Linked DNA regions of Saccharomyces cerevisiae S288C. Changing the gene in region 3 together with the main gene of any one other region gives a genetic interaction. Each region holds a gene or a part of one and is shown on either strand. Other genes may lie near its edges. The genes, in order: GAL7, GLO2, GAL2 and GAL10.

What was found.
Region 1: mutations in GAL2 (region 3) and GAL7 impair growth when combined (synthetic growth defect), as found in Saccharomyces cerevisiae (2 studies listed by BioGRID, with this or other methods).
Region 2: mutations in GAL2 (region 3) and GLO2 together harm fitness more than expected from each alone (negative genetic interaction), as found in Saccharomyces cerevisiae (2 studies listed by BioGRID).
Region 4: mutations in GAL2 (region 3) and GAL10 impair growth when combined (synthetic growth defect), as found in Saccharomyces cerevisiae (2 studies listed by BioGRID, with this or other methods).

Annotation. Positions count from the first base shown.
Region 1 is NC_001134.8:273,847-277,508, forward strand, and holds GAL7 (UDP-glucose:hexose-1-phosphate uridylyltransferase), read right to left. Parts: upstream 1,682-3,662; coding exon 581-1,681; downstream 1-580. Other genes in the region: GAL10 (bifunctional UDP-glucose 4-epimerase/aldose 1-epimerase), read right to left, coding at 2,407-3,662.
Region 2 is NC_001136.10:1,007,271-1,010,334, forward strand, and holds GLO2 (hydroxyacylglutathione hydrolase GLO2), read left to right. Parts: upstream 1-1,739; coding exon 1,740-2,564; downstream 2,565-3,064. Other genes in the region: Cu(2+)-transporting P-type ATPase CCC2, read left to right, coding at 1-1,419; DON1 (Don1p), read left to right, coding at 2,906-3,064. UniProt on the Saccharomyces cerevisiae protein: Thiolesterase that catalyzes the hydrolysis of S-D-lactoylglutathione to form glutathione and D-lactic acid.
Region 3 is NC_001144.5:288,202-292,499, reverse strand, and holds GAL2 (galactose permease GAL2), read right to left. Parts: upstream 2,289-4,298; coding exon 564-2,288; downstream 1-563. Other genes in the region: SRL2 (Srl2p), read left to right, coding at 1-106; EMP46 (Emp46p), read right to left, coding at 3,250-4,298. UniProt on the Saccharomyces cerevisiae protein: GAL2 is a facilitated diffusion transporter required for both the high-affinity galactokinase-dependent and low-affinity galactokinase-independent galactose transport processes.
Region 4 is NC_001134.8:275,753-280,432, forward strand, and holds GAL10 (bifunctional UDP-glucose 4-epimerase/aldose 1-epimerase), read right to left. Parts: upstream 2,601-4,680; coding exon 501-2,600; downstream 1-500. Other genes in the region: GAL1 (galactokinase), read left to right, coding at 3,269-4,680. UniProt on the Saccharomyces cerevisiae protein: Mutarotase converts alpha-aldose to the beta-anomer. It is active on D-glucose, L-arabinose, D-xylose, D-galactose, maltose and lactose.

The DNA.
Region 1 (3,662 bases), on a different chromosome or scaffold from region 3:
AAAACTCTATAACCCGGATCAGAAAACTACGAAAAGAGGGTAATAACATAGGTGCAGGATTTCCATCGATAACGACACCGACAATGAGCCTTGCTGCAACATCCAATTAGGACTAATAACTATCGTAGGAATTTCTACGTAATAAACTTCAACAGAGCCTAAAATTTGAAAATAAATAATCTAGAGGGGAAACTTAAAGAAATTCTATTCTTGTCAATAAAGTGGAAATGTGTCAGATGTCACAGTTTCTTTATTTGTGACACATATTTTCAACATAAATTCAGGCATTAGTGCTTTTATAAGCATAAGAAGTTGTGGCGATATGAATATTCCAGATTTTACTTACAAGCTGCATTGTATTCCTAAAATTCTTTTTTCTTTTTTTTTTTTTTTATGGAAAGGACCACTCTTACATAACTAGAATAGCATTAAGAATCAGATTTACAGATAATGATGTCATTATTAAATATATATATATATATATTGTCACTCCGTTCAAGTCGACAACCAATAAAAAATTTAAAAGAAACCAGGCAGTTAATAGAAAAAATATGATATGAATGAATATTCCACTTTCTTTTTACAGTCTTTGTAGATAATGAATCTGACCATCTAAATTTCTTAGTTTTTCAGCAGCTTGTTCCGAAGTTAAATCTCTTTGAGGCTCACCTAACAATTCAAAACCAACCAAGAATTTCCGAACAGTAGCTGATCTCAGTAAAGGTGGGTAGAAATGCATGTGAAACCAACTATTACTCAATTCATCACCAGTCGCATTCAAAGGAGCCTGATGGATACCCATTGAGTATGGGAAACTCGTTTCAAATAAATTATCATACTTAATAGTTAGTTGCTTTAAAATCGAGGCGAGGTCCTCCTTCACCATTTGGTTAAATTGGCTAATTGAGGCAAGCTTCTTCTTTGAAATGACCAAGGTCTCAAATGGCCAGATGGCCCAGTATGGAACAACAACAATAAAGGATTCATTCTCCACTACGACTCTTGACTTCTCTCTTGATTCTAATTTGACGTAATCGGCAAACAAATCAGTATTGTGTTCACGTTTATATTTATCAAAAGATTTCAATTCTTGCGAAACTTCACTAGGGATGGATTCTAAGCACCAAGCTTGGCCATGTGGATGTAAGTTGGAACAACCCATGGCTGTACCTTTGTTTTCAAATATTTGGACATATTTGAAAGGCTTATGATTTTCTCTTGCTTCTCTGGAGAGATCGTCAGTCAATGCTTGCCAAGAATTAACAATATGAACCAGATCTGATTGTTTCATTTGTGGAATGGTTAGATTATGATTGGGGCTAAAACATATGACGAAACAATTGCCTCTCACAGATTGCACTTTAAGCAGCCTATTTTTAAGATTATCCTCATTGGAATCATTCTGTGGTAAAATAGGTTGATCGAGCCTAACGGCAGCATAATCATTGGGGAAAATATACGTTGATTCATATCTTGGGTTTAGGTTACCAGTAGCTCTTTTGTTACCAGGACATAGATAGCATTTTGGATCATACAATGGAGCTGTGGGCTTGTAAGCAGCCTCCTGTTGACCTAACCAAGGTCTTTTAGCTCTGTGTGGAGAAACTAAGATCCATGAATCGGTTAGTGGATTGTAACGTCTATGGGAATGGCTAGAAAAATCAAATTCTTCAGCAGTCATTTTTGAGGGAATATTCAACTGTTTTTTTTTATCATGTTGATGCTCTGCATAATAATGCCCATAAATATTTCCGACCTGCTTTTATATCTTTGCTAGCCAAACTAACTGAACATAGCTACACATTATTTTCAGCTTGGCTATTTTGTGAACACTGTATAGCCAGTCCTTCGGATCACGGTCAACAGTTGTCCGAGCGCTTTTTGGACCCTTTCCCTTATTTTTGGGTTAAGGAAAATGACAGAAAATATATCTAATGAGCCTTCGCTCAACAGTGCTCCGAAGTATAGCTTTCCAAAAGGAGAGGCAAAGCAATTTAAGAATGTATGAACAAAATAAAGGGGAAAAATTACCCCCTCTACTTTACCAAACGAATACTACCAATAATATTTACAACTTTTCCTTATGATTTTTTCACTGAAGCGCTTCGCAATAGTTGTGAGTGATATCAAAAGTAACGAAATGAACTCCGCGGCTCGTGCTATATTCTTGTTGCTACCGTCCATATCTTTCCATAGATTTTCAATTTTTGATGTCTCCATGGTGGTACAGAGAACTTGTAAACAATTCGGTCCCTACATGTGAGGAAATTCGCTGTGACACTTTTATCACTGAACTCCAAATTTAAAAAATAGCATAAAATTCGTTATACAGCAAATCTATGTGTTGCAATTAAGAACTAAAAGATATAGAGTGCATATTTTCAAGAAGGATAGTAAGCTGGCAAATCAGGAAAATCTGTAGACAATCTTGGACCCGTAAGTTTCACCGTTTTTCAAGGTTACACAATCTTTCCAGTTCTCTTGATTGATAGCATCAATGTATCTACCAGGCTCAATTGCAAAACCTTGTCTTGCTTCGTAACCAGCAGACAAGAAATCACCGGTATAAAATTGATAAGTTGGCTCTGTACTTAAAACTTCTAATGTAATATTGGAATCGGGATGAAAAGCCTTGACAATAAGCGTCAATTCATTGTTTAGAGTATTGATTTGACTTGGCTTAGCATTTTCATCCACCACAAAACAACAATCAAACTGGGGATTTTTGGGGCCTAAGACCGTTGGCTTTGTAGAGTTAAAGGTAGCAATTTCTCTATCGACGATATTACCCGTAGGAATCATGTTTTTGTCGACATCAACAGATTTTTTTGAACGCACCATAATCTCCGTACCCTCAATAGTGTCTCCATATGGCTTGTTCAGATTGAAATAACTATGATTTGTTAAATTTATTGGCGTCGCTTCACCAGCAGTCAATTTACCTTTATATACCATTTCCAAACTTTTTTGGGCAACGTTCACAGTATACTGTATGGTTACCAATAGATCACCTGGAAATTCGGTGTCCTTCTCATTATCTATCAGCATGTACTCGGCGGTAAAAACATCCTTTGAAGGATTTTGAATGATGGGTCCCAAAAATCTTTTTCTGTGGAAAGAACCGATACTACTATGATTCGCATTAACGCCGTTATTAACGGTTAACTGATAGTCTTTGTTGCATAAACTAAACTTACCCTTCGAAATACGATTAGCATACCTGCCGATCGTGGCGCCTATATAAGCACTATCAGGATTCAAATACCCTTCCTCATTTTCATAGCCAAGAACAACTGATTGTCCGTTCACTTTCAGGTCAACAATGCTGGCGCCCAAATTGGCAAACGTGGCTTGAAATCTGGTGCCGGCACCAATAGTCACAAATCTTGCGTCATAACGCATATCTTCAGCGGAAAATCTGGCCTCGACACCCCTTAACTGGTAACCAAAAGGATTCTCAGTAGTCCATTTCCATAAATCCTTGCAGGAGTCTTCAACCTGCAACTCGGTCTGCCATTTCAGTTCGCGTTTGGCCCTATCTGGTTTAGCCGTCAAGTTCAAAACATCACCTGCTCTTCTGCCCGTAACTTTGTATGGAAGATCAATACCAGAAGCTTTGCAGAATGCATGATAAACTTCAAAAACTGTAGAACCTTTACCGG
Region 2 (3,064 bases), on a different chromosome or scaffold from region 3:
GGGATCCTAATTTTGGCAGTATTGACTTTCTTTATTTGGTGTTTTATTTTAAACATCTCGGCTAATCCTCCCGTCGCTTTCACCGCAAATACTAAGGCTGATAATTTTTTTATTTGCTTACAAACTGCTACTTCTGTTGTCATCGTCGCATGCCCATGTGCATTGGGACTTGCCACGCCGACTGCTATAATGGTGGGTACAGGGGTTGGAGCTCAGAATGGTGTCTTAATAAAGGGCGGAGAAGTATTGGAAAAATTCAATAGTATTACTACTTTTGTTTTTGATAAAACAGGTACCTTAACTACAGGTTTTATGGTTGTGAAAAAGTTCCTTAAAGATTCAAATTGGGTTGGAAACGTGGATGAAGACGAAGTTCTCGCCTGTATAAAAGCAACGGAATCCATTAGTGACCATCCAGTTTCGAAAGCAATTATACGTTATTGTGATGGTTTGAACTGTAATAAGGCTTTAAATGCCGTTGTTTTAGAAAGCGAATACGTGCTTGGAAAGGGAATAGTCTCAAAGTGTCAAGTTAATGGAAATACTTATGATATTTGTATTGGGAACGAGGCGCTGATTTTGGAGGATGCATTAAAAAAATCCGGATTTATTAACAGTAATGTCGACCAAGGAAACACTGTATCATACGTATCAGTAAACGGGCATGTGTTTGGCTTGTTCGAGATTAATGATGAAGTTAAACATGATTCTTACGCAACAGTTCAGTATCTACAAAGAAATGGATATGAAACGTATATGATTACTGGCGATAATAACTCAGCAGCAAAAAGAGTCGCTAGAGAAGTAGGTATAAGCTTCGAAAATGTTTACAGCGATGTGTCACCCACAGGCAAATGTGATCTCGTGAAAAAAATTCAAGATAAAGAAGGTAATAACAAGGTTGCTGTTGTTGGCGATGGCATTAACGACGCTCCCGCTTTAGCACTGAGTGATCTAGGTATTGCCATTTCAACAGGTACGGAGATTGCTATTGAAGCAGCTGATATTGTTATACTGTGCGGTAATGATCTGAATACTAATAGTTTGAGAGGACTGGCCAACGCCATCGATATTTCACTAAAAACGTTCAAAAGAATAAAGCTGAATTTGTTCTGGGCACTTTGCTATAATATATTCATGATTCCGATTGCTATGGGTGTGCTCATTCCTTGGGGCATAACTCTTCCTCCAATGCTCGCCGGTTTAGCGATGGCATTCAGCTCGGTCAGTGTCGTTCTAAGTTCATTGATGTTGAAGAAGTGGACTCCACCGGATATTGAATCACATGGGATTTCAGATTTCAAGTCCAAATTTTCGATTGGGAATTTTTGGTCAAGGCTTTTTTCTACGCGGGCTATTGCAGGTGAGCAAGACATAGAATCACAGGCCGGACTAATGTCAAACGAAGAAGTCTTGTAAATAACAGGTAAGTCTAATTTATTTAAAAAAATCCACGAGCATATAGATTTATAACAATAATAATAATTAATATTCATCAATTTTTTAGTAAATTCATATATTTTACTCCTACTCTATGTATTTTCAGTAAGTCTACTAGTCGTATTACCCGTCGGTTTCAAGGGATATTATGGAGGTAATAAGGATTTTTTTACCGATTTAAAAACCCATTATATCCCTCTTAGAAAAATTTTAGTATTCTTAGATAAGTTGCTAGATTTACCAATATCAAAGGGAAGACTGCAGGACAACACAAAAACACAAGAAAAGGAGGACAAAAAATGCAGGTTAAATCGATTAAAATGAGATGGGAGTCTGGTGGTGTTAATTACTGCTATCTATTGTCCGACAGTAAAAATAAAAAATCGTGGCTAATCGATCCAGCAGAGCCTCCTGAGGTTCTGCCAGAGTTGACTGAGGATGAGAAAATAAGTGTTGAAGCAATTGTTAATACACATCACCATTATGACCATGCAGATGGTAACGCTGATATCTTGAAGTATTTAAAAGAGAAAAATCCAACTTCAAAAGTTGAGGTTATAGGAGGGTCAAAGGACTGCCCAAAGGTTACGATAATTCCGGAGAATTTGAAAAAGTTACACCTAGGTGACTTAGAGATTACTTGTATTAGGACGCCCTGCCATACCAGAGACTCTATCTGTTATTATGTGAAAGATCCAACAACAGATGAGCGCTGCATTTTTACTGGCGATACACTATTTACCGCTGGTTGCGGTAGGTTTTTTGAGGGTACAGGCGAAGAAATGGATATAGCTCTGAACAATTCTATCTTAGAAACTGTGGGCAGGCAGAACTGGAGTAAAACGAGGGTTTATCCAGGACACGAATACACAAGTGATAATGTAAAGTTTGTTCGTAAGATTTACCCGCAAGTTGGTGAAAATAAAGCATTGGATGAGTTAGAACAATTCTGCTCCAAGCATGAAGTCACAGCAGGGCGGTTCACTTTGAAAGATGAGGTAGAATTTAATCCATTCATGAGATTAGAAGATCCAAAGGTCCAAAAAGCTGCCGGAGATACGAATAATTCATGGGACAGAGCTCAAATTATGGATAAATTGAGAGCTATGAAAAACCGTATGTAGGAAAGCCAACAGAGTATAATATACTTAAAAATATTCTTTTAGCATACCCTTTTATTTCAATGTATAAGAGTTTTTGGAACGCTACTTTATAACATTCAGGTCTGTTCACTAGAACTCTTGTAGTTGTGCCGTCATAAAAATTAGTCTTCGCGTGGCTGAAAGAAAAGTTCCAATAATACGGGCGGCTCGAGTAGAGTAATCATTGCCGTCACAAAACCATTTTCGGGTAGAAATAAAGCAATGGATATTTGAGCTCCAGAATTAAAATGGCTTTCCTTTTGCGGTTTACTATCTACTTGACTTTGGCTGGTATTTAAACACAAGTAAGAGAAGCATCAAACATGGGAAAGAAAAATAGAAAGGGAAAAGAAAATAATGCTGCTAAAACCTCTTTTCTAAAAGTAGAGAATATTAAAAACACTAATTCGGGATTGGAGCTTCCATCGCAAGACTATACAAACGTTGAAGAAAAAGAAAGTAGCCCGAAAACTGACTTTCCA
Region 3 (4,298 bases):
TAAAACGGTACGAGAAAAGCTCCGAGACGTTGAATTGAATATTAATAGGTTGCAGGTTGATATAAAAGAAATAAAGGAAATGCTTGTTACACTGATAAACAAATGACTGAAAAAAGCAACTCCTGGATCGTTCGAACATTCTCACTCCATTAATTGTATGTTAGCTCAGGAATTCAACTGGAAGAAAGTCCAGGCAAGTACCTGACTTATTTTCTAGAGGACCCCCCAGAGATAAGTCTGGTGATGTGGTCCTTTAATAATTTCATAGGGACAATTCATTTTGCGTTTTTAATTTTGCTCGGTGAACAAAGGATGGCAGAGCATGTTATCGTTTTCTTTTTTTTTTCCTGTTTTAGAGAAAAAGGTTATATATGTAATAATACTCTGATATATGTACACAAATAATAGGTTTAGGTAAGGAATTTATATAATCGTAAGGATATCATTGATAAGGGAAATTTTTTTTTTTTTTTTTCAAACAAATACTATGATAATTAAAATGAAGAAAAAACGTCAGTCATGAAAAATTAAGAGAGATGATGGAGCGTCTCACTTCAAACGCATTATTCTAGCATGGCCTTGTACCACGGTTTGTCGTCATGTTGTAAATCCTCTAAATCGTAATTATTACCTCTTCTGGATGAAGGAATCCAGCCTTCAGATTTCCAAGGTAAAACACCTTCTTCCCATAATTCTTGAATTTCTTCTAACGATAGGCCTTTAGTTTCTGGAACAAAGAAAAAGACATAAAAAAACATGGCAACCAAACAGCCCATGAAGACATAACCGTAGTAGAAGTTAATGGCAGATGTGATGAATGGGGTGAAAAATGCAATCAAGAACCCCCATACCCAATTGGAAGCAGAGGCCAACGCCATACATTTCGACTTGACTCTCAGTGGGAATGATTCTGCTGTGATGACCCAGGCAACTGGCGCCCAGGTTGTGGCATAACAGAAAATATAAAAACAGGTAAAGACAATCATACAGTTACCGGCACCTTTAGAAGATGGCTGGCTTTTACCGTGAGGATATAATCTAGTAACACCAACAGAGGCGTAGATGACCATACAAGCCATCATAGTGGCAGCGCCCAAAAGTAAACATTTACGATGTCCCAAGTTTTCGACAGTCCACAAACTAAAGAAAGTGGAGGCAAAGTTGACTACACCAATGACAATGGATGTTTCAAAGGAATCATCCAGGCCAACTGACTTGAAAATAACGGTACCGTAGTAGAAAAAATAATTGTTACCGGTTAATTGTTGGAACATTTGAACAAACACACCCATCAACAAACGTTGAAATACTTTGGTCTTGGTGGAAAATAATTCCCCCCAGGACGCATTGCCAGCCAGTTTTTCAGCTTCTATACCGGCCATGATCAGATCTAACTCTGCCTGGACGGCAGGATCCTCTGGTGACACCTTGTTAGACTTAGCAATGGAACGCTTGGCGTCTTCTACCTTATTCACCTCACATAAATAACGTGGGGATTCAGGAACTAACGTCAAAGCGCCAATCATAAATAATGACCAAGCGAAACATAGCCCTAATGGAACTCTCCATTGAACTGAGTTCGAATAGCTCTTTGTACCGTAATTAGTACAGTAGCCCAAAAAGATACCTGCAGTAATCATCAGCTGATAACAAGAAACTAGTGTGCCTCTCAAGTGCTTTGGAGCAATTTCAGAGATCAACATAGGACATAAGACGGCGATGCCGCCGACACCCAAACCAGATATGATTCTACCAATGAAATATTGGTACCACTTGTTGATAGAGGCAATTTGAATGATAATACCAACTATATAAACCGAGACGACAATCGAAAGACCCTTTTTACGGCCATACATATCTCCACCTTTGGAAAGTATAATACCACCAAAGGCACAGCCAATATTGAAAATGGCGACGATTAAACCTGTTCTGACGTTTGACAAATAGTGGGTACCATCCTTATGTTTCATACCAAACCTTCTCAAAAAGTCTGTTTGGACAACAAACCCAGAAATAGTACCGGTATCCCAGCCAAACATGAAGCCGCCGAAGGCAACACACAAACAAAGCAAGGAAACGGTAACATATTCAGACATGGGCTTCTTGGGTATCTCTATAGGAACACTTTGGGAGCCTTCAGACCCTGACTCACCGGCTTTCAATTCATCATTAGAATACTTTTGAGATTGTGCGCTTAAATGGGAATCTTTACTGAGTGAAGAGATCACGTCTTCACCAGCTTGGGGTTGCTGTGAAACAACAGGCATATTGTTCTCCTCAACTGCCATTATGAAAGAATTATTTTTTTTATTATGTTAATCTTGTGTTTACTTAACTATTACTATTCTTGATGATAATTGAATAAGGTGCATAATGAAGAGCAATTCACAACACCAAATTTTCAATCCAATTACTGATTGTTTATATATGTCTACAAAACTTATCCTATCTCCACATTTTAGCCTGCGAAATGTTTGTTTTTTGAACAATAGCTCTCCAGAATGTTGTATAATTTAAGAATATGTGCACAGTTAACTTTCTAGCAGGAGTATAATGCCATTTGCTCCCCATCTTGAGATGGGAAGGGCTTAACTAATCTCGGTTCGGAGTGATCCGCCCCGATACTGCCTTCTGCCTTAATATCGTCCAAGGCACATGGACCCCTGAACGGCGCAGATATCTCCGCACGGACGAAAGACCGCCGGTGCCTTCCTGAGGCAACCGCCCCTTTCGAATATAGATCACGTGACCCATTTTTAGCTACTAATAGAAAAAGAAATTGCAACCTACTTAAGCCATTCCGGAAGGAAGCTTTCCGAATTGACGTTGAGTACCTTTTGTGAAAAGATTCTACCGCATTTAATTGGAGTTTGATGCAAAGTAGTTGCCAGTTACAAGTTGAGTGCGGCTACCTGATATTTTCTAGTCCTATATTGCTGTGATCTGAATCTGGAAAGTTCCCCTGGTCCGTAAACCTCCTTGGATTAGTACAGCCCGTTATGCTCAGTAAATGTAATAGATGTGCCTTCTGCAGCGAAACTGGTATTGTAGGAGACATATTACTGTCGTCTTGGAAGCAAAATTAATGTTTTGCTGCTTTTACTGTCGCGTTTAACAGTTGATTTTCCCAAAAAAAAAAAAAGAAGTTAACAGCATCTATATAAAGAAGGATATAGATAACATGCACATTTTCGTATGTAATAGTTATGTTTCTTATATCTTGTACCCATATAACAAAGACACAAGAGCTTACAGAAGTTTGACCTTCTTGATGTCTTGGTTAATTCTAAACATGTAGTACGCCAATGTGATCATAATGAAAATCAGCAGTGCCAACCATACACTTATTTTGGAAAATATCTCATCATGACCTTTGGTCTGCTTGCCATACAGCTTGGCATCTTGTCGAATTTTTTCTTGTTCTTTTATCAATCTGTCCAGGTTTGCGTTCATCGAAAGAAAATCTTGGAAACTATCGTCACTTATGGCTGTTTTCTTCAGATCTAACAGTGGTCTTAAACGTTGAATCAGTTCACGTTCATTCTCCACAATCTTGTTCATCTTGCGGAGTAATGGATCGATATCATTTGCCATGATTTTCCCCTCCAACTTGTTCATCTTTTCGAAAAGCTCGTTACTCGTTATACTTTCTTCCTTATCAGAAAATGGCATCTTTTCCCTGAAACTCTCTTCACCAGTTTGAGAATTGATCACTTTAGTAACCACTCTGGGTTGTCCCATAGGATTCACGTTAGGAATTAGCGAATCCTCTATAACTCCGTCATAAAGCTTCATTTTCAAGATTTCAAACGATTCTTTGGATGCATCGTTGATAGCACTTGTTCCAATCCTAAATGGGCTGCTGCCCATAAATTTAACTTTCCTTGTCTGGAAACACACTCTGTTGTCCATTTGCAACTTTAACAAGTGATTATCTAGTGGATTGTAAGTCAATCTTAATGTTGATGGTACCATGGAATCCTGGTATTGGAACAGACATGACGCAAAGTACGGTGAGGATTCAATATCAAGATCTTTTGTTCCGTCATTCAAATACGCTGTCACGCTCTCTCCCAACTTATCGTCTAATCGTAACAATATCATCAAACCATTAAACTTCTTCGAACTTCCACCAAATAACTCGGTACTATCTCCCTCATTTCCTTGCTTCAGCCAAAATGCAAGACCCCCCTTTGTGCTGCCTCTGAACCCGAAACTTCTAAACGTCCACTCTATTGTCATTGCATCCTTTATTGAATATTCAGGTTTCAACCAAAGTGAACCCTTTGTGTTCTTTC
Region 4 (4,680 bases), on a different chromosome or scaffold from region 3:
TTAAGGAAAATGACAGAAAATATATCTAATGAGCCTTCGCTCAACAGTGCTCCGAAGTATAGCTTTCCAAAAGGAGAGGCAAAGCAATTTAAGAATGTATGAACAAAATAAAGGGGAAAAATTACCCCCTCTACTTTACCAAACGAATACTACCAATAATATTTACAACTTTTCCTTATGATTTTTTCACTGAAGCGCTTCGCAATAGTTGTGAGTGATATCAAAAGTAACGAAATGAACTCCGCGGCTCGTGCTATATTCTTGTTGCTACCGTCCATATCTTTCCATAGATTTTCAATTTTTGATGTCTCCATGGTGGTACAGAGAACTTGTAAACAATTCGGTCCCTACATGTGAGGAAATTCGCTGTGACACTTTTATCACTGAACTCCAAATTTAAAAAATAGCATAAAATTCGTTATACAGCAAATCTATGTGTTGCAATTAAGAACTAAAAGATATAGAGTGCATATTTTCAAGAAGGATAGTAAGCTGGCAAATCAGGAAAATCTGTAGACAATCTTGGACCCGTAAGTTTCACCGTTTTTCAAGGTTACACAATCTTTCCAGTTCTCTTGATTGATAGCATCAATGTATCTACCAGGCTCAATTGCAAAACCTTGTCTTGCTTCGTAACCAGCAGACAAGAAATCACCGGTATAAAATTGATAAGTTGGCTCTGTACTTAAAACTTCTAATGTAATATTGGAATCGGGATGAAAAGCCTTGACAATAAGCGTCAATTCATTGTTTAGAGTATTGATTTGACTTGGCTTAGCATTTTCATCCACCACAAAACAACAATCAAACTGGGGATTTTTGGGGCCTAAGACCGTTGGCTTTGTAGAGTTAAAGGTAGCAATTTCTCTATCGACGATATTACCCGTAGGAATCATGTTTTTGTCGACATCAACAGATTTTTTTGAACGCACCATAATCTCCGTACCCTCAATAGTGTCTCCATATGGCTTGTTCAGATTGAAATAACTATGATTTGTTAAATTTATTGGCGTCGCTTCACCAGCAGTCAATTTACCTTTATATACCATTTCCAAACTTTTTTGGGCAACGTTCACAGTATACTGTATGGTTACCAATAGATCACCTGGAAATTCGGTGTCCTTCTCATTATCTATCAGCATGTACTCGGCGGTAAAAACATCCTTTGAAGGATTTTGAATGATGGGTCCCAAAAATCTTTTTCTGTGGAAAGAACCGATACTACTATGATTCGCATTAACGCCGTTATTAACGGTTAACTGATAGTCTTTGTTGCATAAACTAAACTTACCCTTCGAAATACGATTAGCATACCTGCCGATCGTGGCGCCTATATAAGCACTATCAGGATTCAAATACCCTTCCTCATTTTCATAGCCAAGAACAACTGATTGTCCGTTCACTTTCAGGTCAACAATGCTGGCGCCCAAATTGGCAAACGTGGCTTGAAATCTGGTGCCGGCACCAATAGTCACAAATCTTGCGTCATAACGCATATCTTCAGCGGAAAATCTGGCCTCGACACCCCTTAACTGGTAACCAAAAGGATTCTCAGTAGTCCATTTCCATAAATCCTTGCAGGAGTCTTCAACCTGCAACTCGGTCTGCCATTTCAGTTCGCGTTTGGCCCTATCTGGTTTAGCCGTCAAGTTCAAAACATCACCTGCTCTTCTGCCCGTAACTTTGTATGGAAGATCAATACCAGAAGCTTTGCAGAATGCATGATAAACTTCAAAAACTGTAGAACCTTTACCGGAACCCAAGTTCCACTCACGACACAAACCTTCATTTTCATTGTAGGCCTCTAGGTATTGCAGGGCTGCAATATGACCTTTTGCTAGATCAACTACGTGGATATAATCCCTGATCGGGGTACCATCTCTGGAATCATAATCGTCTCCGAAGATGTAAAGCTTCTCGCGCCTACCAACAGCTACTTGAGCCATATATGGCAACAAATTGTTTGGTATACCTAGCGGATCTTCTCCGATTAATCCAGAGGGATGTGCGCCAATTGGGTTAAAATAACGCAAGATAGCAAACTTCCAACTTTTTTTGTCGCTATTGTAAAGATCATTCAAGATATTCTCAATGGCGTATTTCGTATGACCATACGGATTAGTAGGCCCTAAGGGACATTCTTCTGGGATAGGAATCATATTTGGGAATCTCGTAGCATCACCATAGACAGTAGCAGAAGATGAAAAAACAAATTTGGAAACGTTGTATTGTTGCATTAACTCTAATAAAACGACAGTTCCCAAAATGTTATTGTGATAGTATCTCAGCGGGATTTGTGTAGATTCACCTACAGCCTTTAAACCAGCAAAGTGAATTACCGAATCAATTTTATATTCTTTGAAAACCTTTTCCAGACCTTTTCGGTCACACAAATCAACCTCATAGAAGGGAATGTGATGCTTGGTCAAGACCTCTAACCTGGCTACAGAATCATAAGTTGAATTCGACAGGTTATCAGCAACAACACAGTCATATCCATTCTCAATTAGCTCTACCACAGTGTGTGAACCAATGTATCCAGCACCACCTGTAACCAAAACAATTTTAGAAGTACTTTCACTTTGTAACTGAGCTGTCATTTATATTGAATTTTCAAAAATTCTTACTTTTTTTTTGGATGGACGCAAAGAAGTTTAATAATCATATTACATGGCATTACCACCATATACATATCCATATCTAATCTTACTTATATGTTGTGGAAATGTAAAGAGCCCCATTATCTTAGCCTAAAAAAACCTTCTCTTTGGAACTTTCAGTAATACGCTTAACTGCTCATTGCTATATTGAAGTACGGATTAGAAGCCGCCGAGCGGGCGACAGCCCTCCGACGGAAGACTCTCCTCCGTGCGTCCTCGTCTTCACCGGTCGCGTTCCTGAAACGCAGATGTGCCTCGCGCCGCACTGCTCCGAACAATAAAGATTCTACAATACTAGCTTTTATGGTTATGAAGAGGAAAAATTGGCAGTAACCTGGCCCCACAAACCTTCAAATTAACGAATCAAATTAACAACCATAGGATGATAATGCGATTAGTTTTTTAGCCTTATTTCTGGGGTAATTAATCAGCGAAGCGATGATTTTTGATCTATTAACAGATATATAAATGGAAAAGCTGCATAACCACTTTAACTAATACTTTCAACATTTTCAGTTTGTATTACTTCTTATTCAAATGTCATAAAAGTATCAACAAAAAATTGTTAATATACCTCTATACTTTAACGTCAAGGAGAAAAAACTATAATGACTAAATCTCATTCAGAAGAAGTGATTGTACCTGAGTTCAATTCTAGCGCAAAGGAATTACCAAGACCATTGGCCGAAAAGTGCCCGAGCATAATTAAGAAATTTATAAGCGCTTATGATGCTAAACCGGATTTTGTTGCTAGATCGCCTGGTAGAGTCAATCTAATTGGTGAACATATTGATTATTGTGACTTCTCGGTTTTACCTTTAGCTATTGATTTTGATATGCTTTGCGCCGTCAAAGTTTTGAACGAGAAAAATCCATCCATTACCTTAATAAATGCTGATCCCAAATTTGCTCAAAGGAAGTTCGATTTGCCGTTGGACGGTTCTTATGTCACAATTGATCCTTCTGTGTCGGACTGGTCTAATTACTTTAAATGTGGTCTCCATGTTGCTCACTCTTTTCTAAAGAAACTTGCACCGGAAAGGTTTGCCAGTGCTCCTCTGGCCGGGCTGCAAGTCTTCTGTGAGGGTGATGTACCAACTGGCAGTGGATTGTCTTCTTCGGCCGCATTCATTTGTGCCGTTGCTTTAGCTGTTGTTAAAGCGAATATGGGCCCTGGTTATCATATGTCCAAGCAAAATTTAATGCGTATTACGGTCGTTGCAGAACATTATGTTGGTGTTAACAATGGCGGTATGGATCAGGCTGCCTCTGTTTGCGGTGAGGAAGATCATGCTCTATACGTTGAGTTCAAACCGCAGTTGAAGGCTACTCCGTTTAAATTTCCGCAATTAAAAAACCATGAAATTAGCTTTGTTATTGCGAACACCCTTGTTGTATCTAACAAGTTTGAAACCGCCCCAACCAACTATAATTTAAGAGTGGTAGAAGTCACTACAGCTGCAAATGTTTTAGCTGCCACGTACGGTGTTGTTTTACTTTCTGGAAAAGAAGGATCGAGCACGAATAAAGGTAATCTAAGAGATTTCATGAACGTTTATTATGCCAGATATCACAACATTTCCACACCCTGGAACGGCGATATTGAATCCGGCATCGAACGGTTAACAAAGATGCTAGTACTAGTTGAAGAGTCTCTCGCCAATAAGAAACAGGGCTTTAGTGTTGACGATGTCGCACAATCCTTGAATTGTTCTCGCGAAGAATTCACAAGAGACTACTTAACAACATCTCCAGTGAGATTTCAAGTCTTAAAGCTATATCAGAGGGCTAAGCATGTGTATTCTGAATCTTTAAGAGTCTTGAAGGCTGTGAAATTAATGACTACAGCGAGCTTTACTGCCGACGAAGACTTTTTCAAGCAATTTGGTGCCTTGATGAACGAGTCTCAAGCTTCTTGCGATAAACTTTACGAATGTTCTTGTCCAGAGATTGACAAAATTTGTTCCATTGCTTTGTCAAATGGATCATATGGTTCCCGTTTGACCGGAGCTGGCTGGGG